Linked DNA regions of Rattus norvegicus. The protein of the gene in region 1 interacts with the protein of each later gene in a pairwise test. Links are inferred from orthologs where the notes say so. Each region holds a gene or a part of one and is shown in the gene's direction. Other genes may lie near its edges. The genes, in order: Fmr1, Nufip1, Ube2i, Pick1 and Fsd2.

What was found.
Region 2: the proteins of Fmr1 (region 1) and Nufip1 interact in a two-hybrid assay, tested with the Homo sapiens proteins (2 studies listed by BioGRID). The link is inferred for Rattus norvegicus from reciprocal best matches to the Homo sapiens genes FMR1 and NUFIP1.
Region 3: the proteins of Fmr1 (region 1) and Ube2i interact in a two-hybrid assay, tested with the Homo sapiens proteins (2 studies listed by BioGRID and IntAct). The link is inferred for Rattus norvegicus from reciprocal best matches to the Homo sapiens genes FMR1 and UBE2I.
Region 4: the proteins of Fmr1 (region 1) and Pick1 interact in a two-hybrid assay, tested with the Homo sapiens proteins (2 studies listed by BioGRID and IntAct). The link is inferred for Rattus norvegicus from reciprocal best matches to the Homo sapiens genes FMR1 and PICK1.
Region 5: the proteins of Fmr1 (region 1) and Fsd2 interact in binary tests that used the Homo sapiens proteins (3 or more experiments, as listed by UniProt). The link is inferred for Rattus norvegicus from reciprocal best matches to the Homo sapiens genes FMR1 and FSD2.

Annotation. Positions count from the first base shown.
Region 1 is NC_086039.1:152,283,393-152,287,773, forward strand, and holds the start of Fmr1 (fragile X messenger ribonucleoprotein 1), read left to right. Parts: upstream 1-1,537; 5' UTR 1,538-1,718; coding exon 1,719-1,769; intron 1,770-2,532; exon of another isoform or gene 2,533-4,013; intron 4,014-4,381.
Region 2 is NC_086033.1:57,852,293-57,856,144, forward strand, and holds part of Nufip1 (FMR1-interacting protein NUFIP1), read left to right. Parts: intron 1-311; coding exon 312-404; intron 405-2,603; coding exon 2,604-2,797; intron 2,798-3,852. UniProt on the Homo sapiens protein: Binds RNA.
Region 3 is NC_086028.1:14,788,151-14,792,002, reverse strand, and holds part of Ube2i (SUMO-conjugating enzyme UBC9), read left to right. Parts: intron 1-3,259; coding exon 3,260-3,369; intron 3,370-3,852. UniProt on the Homo sapiens protein: Accepts the ubiquitin-like proteins SUMO1, SUMO2, SUMO3, SUMO4 and SUMO1P1/SUMO5 from the UBLE1A-UBLE1B E1 complex and catalyzes their covalent attachment to other proteins with the help of an E3 ligase such as RANBP2, CBX4 and ZNF451.
Region 4 is NC_086025.1:112,694,357-112,697,939, forward strand, and holds the end of Pick1 (PRKCA-binding protein), read left to right. Parts: intron 1-769; coding exon 770-820; intron 821-1,588; coding exon 1,589-1,733; intron 1,734-2,151; coding exon 2,152-2,423; 3' UTR 2,424-2,919; downstream 2,920-3,583. UniProt on the Homo sapiens protein: Probable adapter protein that bind to and organize the subcellular localization of a variety of membrane proteins containing some PDZ recognition sequence.
Region 5 is NC_086019.1:144,923,040-144,927,603, reverse strand, and holds the start of Fsd2 (fibronectin type III and SPRY domain-containing protein 2), read left to right. Parts: upstream 1-1,439; coding exon 1,440-2,066; intron 2,067-2,442; coding exon 2,443-2,538; intron 2,539-4,564.

The DNA of each region.
Region 1 (4,381 bases):
ATCCAACTGTGAAAGATATATTTACACTTTATAGACTTCACAGTAGCAATTACAGATTTATATGTTTCTTCATGTGTGTATGGGTGTATATGAATCCATGTGTGAGAGTATCCGCACACAAATGCCACAGGATATGTGTGGAGGTCGAAGGACAACTTCTTCCAATGCAGTCCTTGCCTTCTACCCAGAGACAGTCTTTTTGTTGTTCGAAGCTGGATAAGTCACACTGAACTGTGAACTTCTGGAGAATCAACTTTGGGGGAGTGATTATTTAGGCACTTAAGCCAAGCTTTATATGAATTCTAAGAATTCAAAAATTCAGAATTTCATGCTCGCATAGCAAATGCTTTACCCACTACAGCCAGCCACTTCTCCAGTCCCATATGTATAGTCTTGAGAGGTTGAATTTTGCCCATCTACTCCTGTAGGTTCCAATGTCAACAATGACAGTCTTTTTATTGCTACCTCACCAAGGATTCACTAGTACTTAGTATGGTGCTTGGCACATGGTAGGCATTTAATGAACTTCTCAGTTGGATGCAAGCCTTCTGGATTAAGGGAGCATGGGTCAGGCTGGATAGGAGCCCAGTAGAGAGGCCAAGGGGGAGGAGGTGTGAAAGGCTAGACTTGGTTCTGCTGTGGAAGGCACAGGAAAAGAGCTGCATGGAGTGGACACAATGATGTGCATAGACAGGTTCCATGACTGCTTTCCTGATGCCCTCTCTCTGGTATAGGGTGCACATAGAAGAGGCAAAAGCCAACTGTAAGGAAATTAACAACTGTTTAACACATTCATTGTCTCTCCCTCTTTCAGTGAGCTCTCTTTATTACGAAATCCAAGTAAAAGTATGAAAGGAAAGTGTGCGGGACAGCATTGTCTGAGAAAGGGCTAACATTTCCTGAAGGTCTGGCACACTCCATTGGCCCTTAAAAAGTACTCAAAAGTTCCCACAATGCTTCCCCAAATCGCTAGGTAGTATAGCGATTTATTTTGCACTCTGGCCATAAAAGTCCCAGAAGTCAGGGTCAGTGTAGTTATAACTGTTCCTACATCAAAGTGTTCTCCAATCGAAGTTATCACTTTAACTTCCCCTCCCGCCGCGACTTCCAGTTCAATCAGGTCCCACGCCAGCGCAGTGAAAAATGTACCCAAAGCCCCTCCACTTCTGGTTGGGCCCCATTTTCAAAAACTGGAGGCCTTTTCCCACGTCCTCGCTTCCTCCTGTACAAAAAAGGCCTCTAGTCCCCACGGCTGGCCATAGGCAGCACGACCTGTTACTACCCTTTGCGCTTTCCCGCCGTTCACCCAGCGCGCGCGCCAAAGTATCTGCCCAGTTACCCCAAGGCAGGTACCCACGACGGCGCATGCGCGTGCTCAGCTGCCCAAGAGAGAGGGCGGAGCGAAGGGGGCGGAGCCCATGGGGGAGGGGCCGCCAGGGTCACGTGGTGTCGTTTGACTGTTTACAGGAGGCGCGGCAGAGCCCTCGGCCTCAGTCAGTCTTGCGCTGGGGAGCGTTTCGGTTTCACTTCCGGTGAGGGGCCGCGCCTGAGAGGGCGGGCAGTGAAGCCAACGGACGGCGAGCGCGGGCGGTGTCAGTGACGGCGGCGCCGCTGCCGGGGGGCGTGCGGTAACGCGGCGGCGGCGGCGACGGCTGGGCCTCGAGCGCCTGCAGCCCACCTCTCGGAGGCGGGCTCCCGGCGCGAGGAAGGACGAGAAGATGGAGGAGCTGGTGGTGGAAGTGCGGGGCTCCAATGGCGCTTTCTACAAGGTAACGGGCTACCGGACAGGCCGGGTCCTCGGCCTCCCTCCCTCCCTTGTGTCCCGGGCGGCGGGCGGGCCCCTCGGGCGCGGCGGGAGCGGCGGGCGGTAGGTCGTGAGGGAGCGGCGGACTCAGGGCCTAGAGCCCGCCTCAGCGCTCTGACTCCCGCCTGAGGCCCCGGCGCCCGGCGGAACGCGAAAGGAGCGCGGGAGCTGAGGGTGGTTGAGCGGCCGAGTTCAGTCAGGGAAGCGGGAATGCGAGGACAGTAGATCTGGCCATAGGGCCGGTGCCGCGTGAAGTGGCGGCAGCGGCTTAGTCCTGCTTTCCCAAATAATCCTCTCCTAGTGGGTTCGGGGCCTGACACGCGGGGAGCCGTGAGGGAACCGGGGGCGCCTCAGCCCCGCCGCCTCCTGCCCTGCCGGACGGCGGTTCGGAGTCTTGGGCTCCGGGTTGTCGGCCCACAGTCCAGACTTTGGAGAGCTCCCCTGTTCTGGGCGAGCGGAGTGGAGCGAGTTCTAAGAAGCCCTTGGCAGTCCGGAATCACAATGGCAACTGCTCTTTAGTGGCCTCTTTGTGAATTTCGAAGGAGGGTTTTAGACCTAAAAGTTTCTGAAAGACCATGACATCTGAGAGAGCCATTTAAAACGCTAGCCAAAGCTGATATCCATGGCCTCCTACCCTCTGTAACTGGGGGAAATTCAGGGATAAACATGTCGCGACTTCTAAAAATATTACCAAGTCTGCTTATTTTAAATTTTCCTTTGTGTTTAAGTTCTCAAGGACCCGAATTTGTGCCACAGAACTTCAGGAAATTAACGGGGACTGTCTGATTGCTACTGAATTTTTACCAGGACGGTTTGGAATGTTTGTTTTGTGCTCTGAAGTGCATAAACTTGAGTATATTCGCTTTGACTTTTGCGGTGTTGCAGTGGGCTATGTTCTTGAGGTTTTAAATAAGCATTCATGGAACTACTGAGGGGTTTTTTTTATACCATTGAATATCAGATAACGTATATTTTTTTAAAGGAACCTTAAAATACATGTAATGTGGTATGATTCCTGATACTGCATAGATGTAGATCTAGCAATATTATAAAGTCTCTTTTTTTAATGTTTACAAGCTCTGTAAGGCCCCACCTCAGTAGAATATTTTAGTAACAGAAGCTGCACGTGGAAGGAAGCATGGAAAATAGCTTTTGCCATTGTCCAACCGTTTTAAGTTTATTGTAGAAGAACTTGAGCATTTCAAATGGGACGTACTAGGCTAAGCTCAGGAAAGTGACTTTTGTAAATTATGCTTTTATCAAGTCTATGGAGACATTTAGTAGAAGATAAATTATGCTTTTATCAAGTCTATGGAGACATTTAGTGGAAGATAAATTTCATGAATGAGGGAAATTTGTAAAATACTAATTTATACTAAAAATACCCTTTTGTTGTAGCATGGGAGACAGAAAGAATGCAGCATTTTTGTTGCTAATTCTATCAGTGCAGTTTTTTCAATTTGCTGTAATAAAAAAATGTTCCAGTTAGTTTTGGTTATTTTGCATTAGAAGGTTTCTAGTTTTGGTTATTTTGCATTAGAAGGTTTCTAGTTTCTAGAATGACAGTTTTAATTGCTAGAGTTGGGGCACTGAGACACAGATGAGCAAGGGATAATAGTTAAGTAGTATTTTTGTTCATCTCTAATACCAGCTTAGATTTGAGTCCACTGTTAGTTGCTTTTAATGAAGTTGGCTTGCCATTGAGGGCAAGTAGTGCATCCTACTCTTGAAGGATTTATTGGCCCCAGTAATTTTGCTTGCAAACTGACTGGAATATTTTTTAAAAAGTGCACTGTTTCCACTATTAATCCCCTTGCTTTTTTCTTGGCTTTGTTTTTCAACAACTTCTTAATTTGAAGATGAACGAAAATGAATAGACTTTGAATTATCCTTTGATTCCCTGAGGGGACATGTAGTACTCTTTTAAAGTGTGTGTTGAAGAATTGCTATTGTGTTTAAGTTTATTTTTGTTTTTTGGTTTTTTTTTAAGTTTCAACTGGTCTATATTAAAGGAAGGGTACTGGCTATACTGAAAGAAGTTTAAATTTTACATCACTTAGAATATTGACTGTGAACAGGAGAAAATAAAGTGGAAGCATGCTGAGTCCTTTTCTGGTGAGATTGATGACAAAGATGAGAAGTAAAGACCATTATGGAAACACTGGGAACCCTGTTCATTAAATTGGTAGAAGTAAAAATTTAAAGCGAAGTAAGTCAAATTCAGTATAATTGAATTCAGCTTTTGATTTGCTTACTAGAACTACTGTATTGTAAAGGGTAGTTGTACATTCCCTGAGCACATTAAGTTTGCAGAATAACTATATAGAACACATATTAGGAATGATTTGATTCTTTCTCTAAAACATCAATAAATTGAAGATTTCAGATTCACAAATCATGCTTCTGGCATGGTAAGAGCCAACCAGTTCTGATTTGGATTTTTTCTTTTATTGTTTAATTTTTAAAACTATTAGATTTGTGACTACTTTTTTTAATTTTTAAAAATTTTTATTCTTTAATTCTTTTTGGACAGTTAGACTTTATTGACCTCCCTGTCTTCTCCACCCCCAAAGCCCC
Region 2 (3,852 bases), on another chromosome or scaffold:
GTCTCAGGTACAGCTGTTCTTAGGCTCTCAGTGTCCTCCATAGTAGACTGTTGTTTGAGGGTTGTCTCTTACCTTGGTGACTGTGTGTGCATGGCGTGTTTCTGCAGAAGTAATTGGCTAGGCAGGTTGTTTCTCTCTGCATCAGTGCATGCTAAGCAGAGATGTTAGAGCAGTTGAAATTCTAGCACACACTCCTTACCTGGGTACAGAATTGTGTGGACAGCTGAGACACTGATGCGTGAACTGCATTTTCTCTCTTAGATTTTAGAAGTAGTTGGATGTTTGTGATAAGTTTTAATTTTTTCTTCTAGAAACTACCCAACTCTGGCCAATATTGAAAGGAAGAAGCTGTTACAGCTGGAAAAGGAAAAGAGAGGAGAAGTGTTGACAACCACACAGTACGGGTGAGTTCTTTGACGCTGTCCCTGTGCATCCTCTGTGCTCCTTCAAAAGCATGAGCTTCTGGGGAAGAGAGGGAGCATCCCAGTCTCCTCACATCCCTCTGCTGCCATTCTGAAATCTCGCTCTGTACCTTTTGCTTTAGCAATTGTTTAAATTGTATCTTAAGTACCAATACCTAGAGGGTATCTACACATGTGATAGGGTTTGAACAGTCCTTTCCTTCCTTGTTGCCCTGCTAGTCAGCATAGGAATGATAGCAGTGTCTCTACCGTGGGCCACACTGCCCTGTGCTTCTTCAGACAAGCAAACTCTTGCTTGGATGTGTAGGAAATGTAATCAAGAAGGGCCCACAGGATTATTTCAGTCAATTCCCTTGTCATTCAAGCAGTTAGATAGTTGCTTATTAATAAAAATAGATCTGTCGTACAGCGGCCATGCTCTCCTGTCTCTCCTGTCTCTCCTGTCAGTAATACTCAAGGTCTCCTTTCCCTCCACTCACTTTCTTGTTCAGAATTTTTTTATTTTATTTTACTAACCTAACAGTTTAAATATACAAATCCTAAGTGCATTGCACGATGAATGCCCGTGTTCTCTCTCTCTCGCTGTCTCTCTCTCTCTCTCTCTCACACACACACACACACACACACACCCCTACCCCTACCACATAGATTGACATACAGAATGTCCTTGTTCACCCAGCTCCCTTTTTTTTTTTTTTTCTTTTTTTTTTTTTTTTTTTCGGAGCTGGGGACCGAACCCAGGGCCTTGCGCTTCCTAGGTAAGCGCTCTACCACTGAGCTAAATCCCCAGCCCCCGTCACCCAGCTCCCTTAAGCACTATCCTGTTCAGTGTACCCCATAAACAGTAACATTGTTTTGGTTTTTAATTATTATAAATTATTCCTGTCCTTACAATTATGTAAATGAAACCATACACTATATATATATTCTTGGGTAAATGTGATATTTTTTGAGATACATGCATGCTACATATAGACATTTTTGTACATGTCTTTTGTGGACATTAATGTTCATTTTTTTTTTTTCATGAGACAGATGGTATGTCATAGGTTATCTATATGATTAGCTTTAATAGTTGGCCAAATGGTTGGACTGATTTGGACTTCTCATTGCATGTGATCTCTCTGTCTCTCAGTTACTAGCAATATCAAGCATCTTATATTTTTTCTAATTATGTGTGTGAGAGGGGTGCTGAGTTGTGCGCTTAAGTGCAATGTCTGTAGAGGCTGTAGGAGGGTGTAAGATCTCAGGAGTTAGAGTTCTAGGGAATTGTGAACCACCCAGTGTTGATACTGAGAACTGAACTCCAGTTCTGGAAGGGATGCTGTACACCTCTCCAGCTTCAAAGGGCTTACCGCCCTTGATTTCCAAGAGTTAATGTTTGGTTGCATACATTAAGGATGCACCTCTTAATTTTCCTTGCCGTTGCTTTTAAATGCTGTCCTTTTAAAAAAGATACAACAGGAAGTACTTGCCACTGGCATTTGGGGTCAGAATGGTGTTGGGAACATCTGTTGTGGTGACAAAGCTCAGACACAGTTGAGGACCAGGTGGGTAATGGCTATGATCCCTAGATGCTAACTCTTAGGTGTTCTTTGTTGTATAAATCTATCAGGCATTTTCCTTCTGCTCAGAGGACTTTACAGAATGTTTATTCAAAGAGAGGATCTGGTGAAGGTGACATTCTTTTTTTTTTTTTTTTTTTTTTTTTTTTTTGGTTCTTTTTTTCGGAGCTGGGGACCGAACCCAGGGCCTTGCGCTTCCTAGGTAAGCGCTCTACCACTGAGCTAAATCCCCAGCCCCGAAGGTGACATTCTTATAAATGCTTTGCAAACCTAGAAGCTCCCTTAAAATGAGTAAAAAAAATTTTTTTTCGGAGCTGGGGATGTAACTTTTTAATTAAATAAGAGTGGGTGTGTTTTGTAAACTCTTAAGATAGATGCTGATGTATAGTATGAAAATGCCACACGGTGAGGTCTGCCAGTGATGACACAACAGAGCCCTGTGTCAGGGCTCAAAACACTTGTGGGGACTGCAGCTAGAACTGATTAAGACTTAGGGTGTAGGGTGTGGACCTTTAGCCTTTGTGTAGTTCTTTATTTTGGTCTCTTTAATGTCTTAGGGCTTAAGGGCTCAATTTAACATCCATATTTCTTTTGCTCCTTTTTTTTCTTACTCCAGCAAAATGAAGGGCATGTCCAGACATTCACAGATGGCAAAGATCAGGAGTCCTGGTAAACATTATAAATGGAAAAGCGGTGGGGCTAGACAGAGAGCAGTCCTTGGACTAGGCAATCGTGCCAGAGATTTGAAGCCTGAAATTCCGACCAAGGTTAATGTAGACCCTCTTGGTGTATTGATCCACAGCGACTCTGGTAAGCTGAATGGGAGATGACGTATACACACTTGTGTGCATTGCGGTGGATTGGATGCAGAGGGATCTGGGAACGGTGGAGTGTTGGGTTGGGTACAGTTCGATAAGATTTAGAAGGAGTGGTAATAAACTAAGCACAACTAATAGTTACCGAGTAAGGACCTTGCTGTGCTCCCTGTGCTTGGTGTGTATTACCTCTTTTCTGTAGGTGGTATTCTGATTGCCATTTAGAGACAAGACTGCAGAGACCAAGCAGGTTACTTTAGTCGCACTGATAGCTGCTGCAGAACCAGAACTTGAGCTGAGTGAGGGGTCTGACTCTAATACTGTGCATGTATCTAAATGTAAGGTCTGAGTTTGTCTGATAAGTGTTGTGAGTATAGGAGCTGAAGATGTGGGAAGGAGTTTAGGCAGACCCCTTCTGACTATCCTTGTAGTTCAATGGAGGAGCGCTTGTTTGGTGTGTACAGAGACCCACTCCAAATAAAAATAAAGTAAAAGCTCTTTTTTAATGTTTGATAAGACCAAGAAAAGGCAGACTTTCCTTTAAGGCCGGCTCTTGCTGTGTAGCCCAGAGTGGCTTCATACCTGGGTGTTCCTCCTGCGTTAGAGCATTTGAGCCTGTGTGTGTCGCCGTGGCTGGCCTGTTCACCTGTTTTGAAGCTGTCCCCTTACCCTTGGGCAGCAGCTCGGTTTTGGAATGTAGTTGTTGCAGTGGTCGGTGGTGCTGACACTGAGGTAGCACAGTCCAATGCTTCTCATGGCAGCTGACACCAAGCACGTTCTTACTCTGAGGGTAAAGTCCTCAGGGCTGGCATGGAGTACACACCTTTAATCTTGACATCGTAGCCAAGGCAACTGAAGGAAGGGCTTATTTTGTGCTTGTCATTCTAGAGGCCCATGACAGCAGAATGGAGGTTGTCAAAGACATCGAGGGTAAACTGAGGCAGGGTGTAGTGTTGGCAATTGGCTAGGGCTGTTTGAAATGCCCCCTGGGTACCCAGTGGGAAAATCCTTTGAGGGCTGCAAAAGGCTGGTGGAAAAGGAAAGAAAAAG
Region 3 (3,852 bases), on another chromosome or scaffold:
GGGAACCACTGGATGGAATCTTACCTGCTGTTTGGGATTTTCTTGTCTGTCTGAGTTCTTTTTGCCGTACTGTTGGTGATTCATTCATTCTTTCTTTCTTTCTTTTTTCTTTTTTTTTTCTTTTTTCTTTTTTTCTTTTCTTTTTTTTTTTTTCGGAGCTGGGGACTGAACCCAGGGCCTTGCGCTTGCTAGGCAAGCGCTCTACCACTGAGCCAAATCCCCAACCCTGTGATTCATTCTTTTAATTGAGGGGTATGTATGTAGCTACGATTGAGACAGACAGAGTTGTTGGTCTCATTGCTCTCATGTGGTGGAATCTTGAGCAAATACAGTGAGACAAGAAGTCTCTCAAAACTGGCGAGGAAAACCAAGATGCAGCTGCTTAGGAGGAAAAAAGTGAACATGGAGAAATGGATCATGGCTCGTGGACGTTTGGAAACTGAGCTGTTGCAGGAGCACCAAATGCTGGGGAGGGGGAGTCTTGTGCTCCGGAGACCATGGGCATTTCTGAGAAGCCTGAGGTAGCCTCAGCAATTATGTGAGGTGACGATTATCCTAACGAGTCTGCAAGTGCCACAGGGTATCCCCATTAGTCGGGCAGGATCTGAATTGTGTATGGAGGTGCAAAGGGCAGGGGCAGTCAATTCCTTGAAGTTTCAGGAGCCTCGACATCCAAATGGAGACCCAGGATAAACAGAGTGCCTCAGCAGGGTAGACAGACCATTGTCACCAACTAGTTACCAAGATATGGTTAGATGTTGTGACATCTGTGCAAAGACAGGCCAGCAGACCATGAAGCAGAATGGATAGATAGTCCAGAAAAGCCAGGCCCATTCACAGCTGGGTATGGGATGAAACTGCTAGTGGGCAGGGGAAGCTCCTTTGCCATGGCCTATAGGTTCAGCTCAGCCTAGTGAATGGGGAGCAGGGCAGCTTTGGAGGAGACTCCAGAGGTTTGCTGATCTGGGGTGGAAGGCATTCATTCTTAGTCAGGGAAGTACAAGAGGTGTTGGCCTCTCTGACCCTGGAGTTAAGTCAGTCTTAAAAGTCACCAGCTAGTGAAAGAAATGCAAAGGAGCAGAATGCACCGTTTCCGGGCCCTTCTGGGCTACCAAGGAGGTGGGCTGAGGCAGCCAAGAGCTGGGAGGGAGACAAGCTCTTGGGCACTTGCTGTGGTGTGTGAAGGCCATTTCTCTGGAAGATCTCTGCTGTTGCCAGTAAAGCTAACCTGCCACTATTCTGTAGAACTAGCCAGGAGAATAAATGCCCACACATGTTCACAAAGACAAGGCAGGAATCCCATGGAAGCCTGGTTGGGGATTCCAGAAATCAGAGATGGTGCAGGTGTGTGTTAGTTGCAGCCTGGGAAGTGATTGAAAGTAAAGGGAAACAAGATGTAGCTTATAAACCCCTGGACAGCAAAATGGTGGGCTCTTAATATCTGATCCATGCCCCAAAGCATCTTCTGCTGCTGACTGAGGCTAAAAGCTTGGAGGGGCTGATGGGCTGACTAAGACTCAGATTCAGGTTATCACTGGTAGAAGTAAACATGGTTGGCAAGTAAGATCAAACTTGTGTTTGCAAAGTACAAGTTAAAGACCAGAATGGGGAAGGGTGCCTGCTGAAAAAGACTTGTGTTGAGAATCACTGATGAGTAAGGGGCTCGAGATAAGGCGAGCTTTAAAGCAGAAGTGTGGGCTCTGTATTGGAATACTAGCTGCTCTTCCAGTGAACCAAGGTTGGATCCTGACATCCCATGGCAGCTCACAACTGGCTATAACTCCTGTCTTAGGGGATTTGACACCCTTTTCTGGCTCCCATGGACTCTGCACACACATGATCCACAAACATACACACAGGTACAATATCTACATACATTAAAAACAAAAAGATTGTGTTGGGTTGGTGTGGAACAGGCTTTCCTGTGTGGCCGTGGCTGTCCTGGAGCCTGCTCTACAGACCAGACTGGCCTCCAACTCTCGATCTGCCTGCCTCTGCCTCCCAGGTGCTGGGATCAGAGGTGTGTGCCATTGCCCCTCGGTGGTTTTTTTTTTTTTTAAAGGTGGTTGCCAGCAGCAGTGTCTCTGTGGAGATGGGAATGGGAACCCCGAAGGCCTGGCCCAATAGTGAGACAGTTGATCTGAAGGAACTGATGAACCTTAGTTTGGGGTCACACCCTCCCATTTGCATATCATTGTGCCTGAGGCACAAGTCACTCAAGTCCCTCCTCACAGCTCGCTTGGAGAGGAATGCTGTAACCCACAGCATTCTAGCTGCACAGAGACACTGTGCAGAATAGTTAGGGAGTTTTCTATGAGCTTTTAACCTTAGTGTTGGCGTCCATTTTTGTCTCAGAGTTCAAGGCAGGACAGCCAGGGTTTCTACATAGAGAAAACTTTTTAAAAACCAAAGAAAGAAAGGAAAGAAGAAACAAACCTTCATTCCCTCCCCCAGAACAGCAGCAGTTGTAACTTTCCATACGAGTTCTGGGAATTAAGCCCTTTATCCGACCCCACCTCACCCTTGTTTTGTTGTTTGTTTTTTAAACAATATTTCACTAAGAAGCCCAGGCCGGCCTTCCACTCATAATCTTCTTGCCTAGCCTACAGAGCAGTTGGTATAGGTGTGTGCTGCTGCAATGCTCAGCCCATGTGTATATAGTACTAGGAACTCAGCCAAAGCCTTCTGTACCCCAGGGACGTGTGCTGCCACAGAGCTATCCCAAGACCCCTTCATTTGCTAAAAAAACAGGCAGCCTTTATTTAGACTTGCACTTTGGGGGGTTATACATGTTTGAAAATAAAGAGAAAAAGGTTTGCCTAGATCAGAGTGAGACACATTCTCAAATATCGGCTGTGAAATAGTACCTGAATGGAGCGGATATTTCTGCTATTGTAAAGACATGTGGTGTACTTGAAGCCTGTTCAGTGAAGTGCCCACCCCCTGAATAGGTCTTTGGGGAATGTGTTCTGGCCTCTTTCCTCTATTATGGACATGAGAGAAGAGCATAGGCTCAGCTCCCCAACTCCTGGCCATAGTCTCTTCTGGCTGCTTTAGGTTCCTCGAGGCAGAGTTGTCTGCTGTATCCAGGCTTAGCTCCTCTGAAGGGAAAGGTATATTCTCTTTCCGGCCCTTCTGCTATTGAGTTTCTGAGATTAGTTCTTTTATAAAGGAGCTCTAGTGTCAGAAGGGCAAGGGCAGCACGGGATGGGGACAGCATCTGCCTCCAAAAGTATTCCTTTCTCCCCCTGTCCTCCAGGTAAATTTGAGCCACCACTGTTTCATCCAAACGTGTATCCTTCTGGCACAGTGTGCCTGTCCATCCTGGAGGAAGACAAGGACTGGCGGCCAGCTATTACGATCAAACAGGTATGGAGTGGCAGCTGGCTACTCTGTTATGGGTTTGTCCTGTTCACAGTAGCCAAGGCTGTTTTTCATACCCCACAAGCCCCATCAATCTAAGTCATTAGATTAACTAAGCCCCTGTCTTAGTCAGGGTTTCTATTCCTGCACAAACATCATGACCAAGAAGCAAGTTGGAGAGGAAAGGGTGTATTCAGCTTACACTTCCACTTTGCTGTTCATCACCAAAGGAAGTCAGGACTGGAACTCACACAGGGCAGGAAGCAGGAACTGATGCAAGGCCATGGAGGAATGTATCTTACTGGCTTGCTCAGCTTACTCCCCCCACCCCCTTTTCTTTTTTTTTTCGGAGCTGGGGACCGAACCCAGGGCCTAGCTCTACCACTGAGCTAAATCCCCAACCCCTCAGCTTGCTCTCTTATAGAACCCAAGACTACCAGCCCAGGGACAGGACCACCCACAGTGGGCTGGGTCCTCCTCCCTTGATCA
Region 4 (3,583 bases), on another chromosome or scaffold:
GGCCAGCTGAGGTGAGCCCACCCTGGAGGCCAGCCCTGAGGCCAGCAGGCAGGCTGGGCCCAGACATGAGCTGAGTCAGGCCTGTGAGATTAAAGGCCTGACTAGAGAATCAGGGGAGCCTAGACTCTGTGTCCACACCAAGGAGCTCCAGACTGCCTACAGCCCGGAGCACTGGCGCACTCCAGTTCTCTATGGTTTCTAGCAGCAGCTCAGACTGGGTTTAGGAAAAGGATGTTTTGAGTCCTAGATGATCTGTTGCTCAAAGGAGCTAAAAAAATGATCTGTTGAGGGTTCAGGCTTTTTGCTCTAGCTCTTCTTAGAGTCTTGACTTGTAGGCCTATACACAGCATGTCTTCAAGGGGCTGCCATGCCCTGTTGTCCAGCCAGCACCACCACACAGTACCGTGGGTTTGGGTTTTGGTCTTGAGATAGAACCCTACCTAGGCCTTATGTATACTAGGCCAGTGCTGTCCCTCTGAACCACACCCTCCAGTCCTCAGAGACTTGAATCTTAATTGCTTTTGAATTTCTCAAGCCTTCAGGCCTTTGCACCCTCCCAGAGGAGTTCTCATAGCCCTGATGCCCCTTTACAGGGCCTCCATCCATGCTTCCAGCCTTTCTCTGGTGGTCCTGACCCTGGTGGCCTATGTGGTTGCTCTCGGTGTGAGCTGAGGGCATAGGGAGGCATGGCAGGGGGAGCTGGAAACTTGGACGAGTGCAGGAAGCTTGGCTGCTGACTTCCTGGCCTCTCCCATCCCATCCCATACAGTCATACTGTCTGAAGGTGAAGGAGATGGACGACGAGGAGTACAGCTGCATTGTGAGTACCAGATGGGCCCGCGGTGGTGTTAGGATGGCTTCGGGTGCCCACGTTTCCCCAACTGCCTCAGAAGGCCTGGGACTGTCACAGGTGGTGGGTATGGCAGGCATCCTGGGGCTTTAGCTGGACTGTAGTTTGGGGCGATCAGCTTATTCTCCCAGTTCCTCTGACTCGGAGTACCAGTTAGTTGGCCATGAGGTAATTTCCTGGATCTGCTTTAGGTCAGGTACCCCAAGTTTGTGAGGGAAAAAGCTAACAGCTTGCTTCTGAGCTCTGCTTTGATTTTAGAAAGAAAAGAGTTGGGCTTATTTACTTTATTGTGTGTGTGAGTGTTTTGCCTGGTGTGTGTGTATGGTGACTGTGACGGTCAGAAGAGGGGTTGTCGGAACTAAAACGACAGAGAGTTGGGCAGAACCCTGTGGGCACTGGTAACTGAACCCAGGCTGCTACAAGAGCAGTGACTATTCTTAGCCACTCTCCAGCCCTGGCTGTTTTTTAGTTTTTGTTCATTTGTTTCTGTTTTGTTGTGTTTGCAGTCAGGGTCCATCCTTTGACCAATATTCATTTATTTCATGTGAGCTGTGTTCGTGTTTCTGTGGTTGATTTTTCTCCCTCCAAAGTTACTGCTTTGAGCTTCTGTCCATCACTGGCATCTGAAAGCCCATTGTGGTATAGCTGTGAGCTGGGCCAGCCTACAGCCTTCCAGCCCCATCTGTCCCTGGGAGGCCCAGGTCCACCCAAGGGCGCTGACAAGCTTGCCTGCCCCAGGCCCTAGGAGAGCCGCTATACCGAGTGAGCACAGGCAACTATGAGTACCGCCTTATCCTGCGCTGCCGCCAGGAGGCTCGAGCCCGCTTCTCCCAGATGCGCAAGGATGTGCTGGAGAAGATGGAGCTGCTGGACCAGAAGCACGGTGAGGGCTGCGTGTGGGGCTCTGTTGCCCATGCTACCCTAGGAGGTCCTTTGCTGGCACTTAGCCCCAGGGTGGGTGCCATTCCCTCCCTAAATCCGAGATGAGGCCCAGAGAGAGTCTCCCTGAGATCCCAAGACTAGGCCCTGGCAGGAGCCCACCTATAGCCTGGCTGGGTTGGGGGCAGGGCTTGGGTCCATGATCTGCTCACTCAGGAAACCTTTGTTTCCTGAGCTAAGAGTTTGGAGGACTTAAGTGGCCAATTGGGCCAGGCCAGGAAGCCTTTGGCTGCGCCCCTTTCTACCCTTCTTAGGCCTGGGGCCCAGGAAGTGTCCCAACAGGAAGGCCAAACCAGTTCCAGGTCTTTCCTAAGAGGAAGCAGTCATAGTCACTGGGCCTGTCTGCTCACCTCCTGCCCCAGTCCAGGACATCGTGTTCCAGCTGCAGCGCTTCGTGTCTACCATGTCCAAGTACTATAATGACTGCTATGCGGTGCTGCGGGACGCCGACGTCTTCCCCATCGAGGTGGACCTGGCACACACCACTCTAGCCTACGGCCCTAACCAGGGCGGCTTTACCGATGGCGAAGATGAGGAGGAGGAGGAGGAGGACGGGGCAGCTAGGGAAGTGTCCAAGGACGCACGTGGGGCCACTGGGCCTACAGACAAGGGCAGAAGCTGGTGTGACTCCTGAGTGCCCCCCTCAAGTGGACCTGGGGGCAGGGTAGTGGGAGGACCGCAGTGGGAGTGGGGCCGGGCCACTGTAGGACAGCGAAGGCATATAGTGGCGCATAAAAGCCTGCTGGCTCGGGGCGCCTGCCTCCCTGCTCCTCTGTCCTTGAACAGTGAACCCAGCCTGCAGCCTGGGACCTGGACTCTAGCCCCCATCCTTCCTTCCCACCTCCCAGCTAGAGGGAGAGCTGGGCCTTGGACAGAAAGAGAAGGGGCTGGAGCAGGCAGAGCACAGGACCTGTCCCTGTCCCTGTGAGCACCTCGGTGGTGCCACGCCTGCAGGGAATGGGAGCTGGGTGGACATCCGAGGCTGTGACCAGTGTACCAGGGCGGCCCCCTGAGTCCATGTGCACACCTCGGCAGCCTATATTTATTTGTTTCTGGCTTAGCCTCAAGGGCTGGAAGCTGGGCCTGTATTGAATAAACAGAAACCCAGACAGAATGGATGGGCTCCTCGCAATGGCTCAGACCCTTTGTAGCCAAATCTCAGCTGCCTCCTGGGTCATGCAGGAGGATGGGACACAAAGCTTAGGCAATTCCCTCTGTGTCCATCACTCACCTCTAGCAGTGCCTATAGGAGCAGCTCTGGGGTCCAGAGGCTCGGGGCAGCATCCTGCTCAGAACCAGACATTGTGAGAACAGTGGGAGCTGCAGCTTGAGTCTGGGTCCTGAAACCTTGACTGTGACCTTCCAGTGTCATCAAGCACTCTCAACCCTTCCCTGTTCTGGTTTTACAATAAGCCTTTGGGCAAGGAGGCAGAACAGATACTGGTCTGGGTCATACGGGGCTGGCTGGGGAGCCCAGGGGTGCAAGGGAGATGTTGACAGACATTTTTGTTTTGTCTGCCTGGCTGTGTGTGTGTGTAGCACATACTGCAGTCCTACTCTGAAGTGCCCCTTAGGACAGGGGATGGCCATCTTGAGACCACACAGGGGCAAGGAATATGTGAGGTGGCAGGGTCCCAAATGGAAATGCTCCTTTGCTTGTAGTTTTGGGCTGCACGCCTGAAGAAAGGATCCAAGGGTCATCCAGTGGGTAAGCTTGGGACCCAGTAGTGATCCCTGTGTAACCCTGGGTGGATTTCTACCCTACTTGTATGTCAGTTGGCCTGCCTAAAGCAT
Region 5 (4,564 bases), on another chromosome or scaffold:
ACTGTTACTGAGCCCGGAGCTCATTGATTGGGTTAGGCTAGCCAATCAATAAACTCCAGGGGTCTGCCTGTCTCTGTCACTTCCTCACCTCTGTGTTGGGTTCAGACACATGCACCTGCACCTGGCTTATGTAACTGTTCATGATCTGAACTCCAGTCCCTGGGCTTGTGAGACAGCTTCTTTACTGACTGGGCCATCTCTCCAGCCCCAAAATGCATCATTTGATGAAGTGGACAGGACTTTGTTTATTTAAAAAAAGAAAAAGGCTCAACTCAACCCAGGAGTGGAAATTACAGGATCTAGAATGCAACAGGAATGAGTGAGTTCGTATTTTGTTTTTCAGTTTGTCCAGGCAAACTGAGTGACCGTGCTCACCTGTGTAGGTAGATGGGAATGGAGGTGGTTATAACATTCCATTCTTTCAGCTCCTTCTGAAATGTACGCCGAAATTATATAATGACCTATCATGAACATTTATTTCAAATAATATATCAGCTGACAACTTGATTAGATCCTCTTGCAATTTTGTTAGAAGCAAAGAGCTGGAAAGCACTTACCTTGAAAAAAAGATCCTTTCTTTCTCATTCATTAATGTCACTCACTCTTGGCATTGATGCCAATCCTCCAGGCTATCCTTTCATCCAGTCCCCTGGAGGCTTTATTAAATTCCCAAGCAATGAAATCTTACTGTGCAATGTAATATTCAGAATGAACAGGAAATATATTTTTGCTTTTCTGATAAGCGAAGGGCTGTTGAGAAGAAAGGACCTCAGAGGCTGCCTTGTTCCCAGGCGAAGCAGCTCTGAGAAAGGCCAAATGCAAACCTGAGACTGTATCTGAACGCTAACTCTTCATACCCAGTGCCTGGATTCCCCATGGAAAGCCCCGTGCACACGTGTCACGGTGTGGAAATCAGCATTATCAATGCCGTCCTTTGAAGGAGCCTGACTATGAACAAGGAGGGGCAGATGGTAGCAGGGGGGAGGAGGCTTAGTTTTACGCTGGCCTCATTCAAACTGTTCTTTCATAACAAATTATTCCACAGCTTGATAACCTAAAATAACCAATATTTATGATCTTGCATGGTTCGTGAGAGCTGTGAATGGCAAAGAGGTCATGCGGTGACCCTAGGTAGGGGTGATGCTCCTAATACACCTTTCTATAGCAGTGTCTCCAGCTCGCCAGCCAGCCTTAGGTCTCTAGGGAGGGTCTCCATGTGTTTCTGTTGAGCAATTGTGAGTCAGCTACGGCTGGGACAATTCAGTGAATTTGCTTGCCATGATGTAGACTGTGACCGTTGACTTCTTGGATAAAATCTGGAACTATGGAATCTCGTGCGCAGACTCTGCAATTCTCTTCTTGGGAACTGACGTTCACTTCTTCTGTGTCCTAGGTCTCAGAATACCCACTGACTGACTAGGAAGGGCTGTTCTGTGTCAATGGAGGAGGAAGCAGGGGAGGAGCCGGGGCTGGGGAGATCAACAGCCCCCAGAGACTTCCACTTTTATCACATGGACCTGTATGACTCTGAAGATAGACTGCAGCTCTTCCCAGGAGAAAGCAGCAGAACCCGGAGGGAAGTAACCCAGGCTGAACTGACCAATGAGCCAAGAGGGGCAGGGGACAGTAAGAATCTCCAGAAGGAAGTGGACGCGCTTGTCCATTTATACGGGCTTGAAGATGAACATGAGTTAGGGGGTGAATTTGTGGATGAACACAGATTGGGGACTCTGGGGTATCCGTACGGGATGAGGAGGAGGGATCCAGGCAGGGAGCAGAGAGACTGGGGGCTTAGTGGTGAGGCAGCTGAGGCCGAGGACCTGTGCTACGGAGTTCAAGGCCCTCCTGACCAATGCCAAGACCTTCGGGAAGCCTACAGGTACACACATGGCCGCGCCAGCGAGGAATATGAATGCTACGTCATCCCAGAGGAGGAAGATGAGGAAGAGCCTGCTGATGTCTTCTGTGTCACTTGCAAAACTCCAGTGAGAACTGTTGAGAAGGATTTTGATATACACAAGGAACACGAAGTAACCCCAATCAACAAGGCTCTGGAACACGCCAAGGTAACAGATCTTACATCTTCCGCTGGAGAGTGCATGTGTGTCTCGGGGAGGTGGGCAGAGGTTCAGTCCTTCATGCCTCCAAGGATGAAATGGTAGCCTGGAGAGATGGTTCAGCATTAAGAGCACTGGCTGCTTTGCAGAAGTCTTGGGTTCAGTTCCCAGCATCCGCATGGTGACTCACAGCCATCTGTAACAGCAGTCCCAGGGACCCCGATGTCCTCCCCTAGGCTCTGTGGTCACTAAGAACACAACGTGGCGTACAGATACACACACACACACAGGCAAACATCGGTGCACATGTTTTTTTTTTTTTTAATTTAAAAAAGATAGAATAAGCTTATCGTTGATACTTTATTCGTTCTGCTCACCTCCACAGGATGAAATTCACAAAAATATGTGCAAATTGGAACAGCAGATTATTGAGATGGAAAATTTCGCTAGCCACCTGGAAGAAGTGTTCATCACTGTGGAGGTAAGGCCGAGTGTGGTGATCTCTCCACAAGTAGCTTCCTTCAGGCAGCTGCTCCCAGTGAGCTACAGAAGCCATGTCTTGGAATGTGAGAGCCCGCCCCTCCCCTCAGCTATCCACTGAACTTCACTGCCCCTGGGCAACTACAGAGGTGACTGTCACTTGCCTTCATCCCCCTACTCTGTCCTCTACGTGGGAGAGGCTGGTGTGTGTGTGTGTGTGTGTGTGTGTGTGTGTGTGTGTGTGTGTGTGTGTGTGTTTGCTGTTGTTTGGTTGGTTACTTTGTTGGTTGGTTTGATTTCTTGAAACAAGGTTTCTCTGTGTATCCCTGGCTGTTCTCGAACTCTCTCTGTAATCCAGACTGACCTCAGATTTGGAGATCCACCTGCCTCTGTCTTCTACCTGCTGGGGTTAAAGGTGTGTGCCCATACTACCCAGATTTATAAATGTTTATTACATGAATAAGTAAAACAGAAACTTTCCAATCAAAGTACCAATTGCATGGGGTTTAATTTTCGTTGTTGCTGTTTTGTTTTGTTCTAACAGTGATGACACCATGGTGGCACCATCCAGATGGTGAAGTGAACAGTTTCCTTCTGTCCTGGGAGTTGGGGTGGGATGGGGTGGGTATGTGTGTTTCTGTGCATCCGTGTTTGCAAGTACATATGCACATGCACTTGCATGTGAAGGCCAGAGGTCAAGTTTGGGTTTCTTCCTCAGCCATTCTGTACCCCATTTTTGAGACTGGATTTGGAGTTCTGTAGCTTTGCTAGTCTAGCTGGCCTGAAAGACCTGGAGATCCCCCTGTCTCAGTCCTCAGTGTTAGAGCCACACAAGCTCACTGCTACACTGTCGGAACTACATTCACTCACTGCTGACCTACATATGAACTACATATGCTCACAGCTGCACTTACATACAAACTACCTACGCTCACTGCTGCACTGCTGACCTACATGCGCTCACTGCTGACCTGACCTTTTACACAGGCGCTGGATACCCTAATTCAGGTTTCCATGCTTGCTTTGGGGCTCACTCTGAGACTCCCCTGGGTGCTGTCTGATGTCCTGCTGTATAAGCAGGCATAGTGTTTCCTTGCTCTCTGGAGTTTTTAATTGTCTGTGTGTGGTGGGGTGGTACCCATCATATCACAGTTTTCCCCCTTTGAAAATGTTTATTGTTTATATCCATTTTATATGGTATTATGCAAAGCAAGGACATTTTCACACGTGTATATAATGTGTGTTGAGCATACTCCTCCAAATCCACTTCCCTCTTTTATCTCCCCCGTTCTTCTCCTCTTAGTACTCTCTGTTCCCTAGACAGTTTCATGACCTTTGTACATACATAATTTTATGAATCTATGTGAGATTCAGGAGCAACAACTGAGAGAGAATGTATATTTGTCTTCTGAGGCTACCTTAATTATATTTTCTCTAGCAGCATTCATTTTCCTGCAAACAGTTCCATTGAGTATGTAGACATTTCTTTACCCGTCCCTCTGTGATGGACACCTCGGTTAGTTCCATAACTTAGCTAATGTGGATAGCACGGATGTTCGATGTCCGTGGCAGGCTGACTTGGGCCAGATGGGAAGTGTATTTTCAGCTTTTTAGGAAACTGTGTACTGAGTGTCCATGGTGTGGGGACCAATTTACATCCGAAAAGTGGCGTGTGCAGAGTCCCTCTTGTCCACACGCCCGACAGCAGTTACTTGTCAAACAGGTCTTCATGTTTCACGCTCCCCACTCCGTCTGGTTATCGTTCCTCCAACACAGACACACTTCTAGCTGTGCGCGGGTCATACAAAGAAGCATCTGTATGGTCTCTTTTAACCTAGCCACTTTGCAAGCTTTCCGACAAGACCATCGAGACCGTAGAATTCCAAAACTGGTGGCTGCATCCTGGGCCAAGTGTGTCCAGATTCTCAGTCTCTTACTCAAAAGTGAGATGAAAACCCACACAAATTGCCAAACAGCTGAGCGGTAGAGCAGATCCGAAATGCTCTGCTGAGATCTCCAACAGAGCT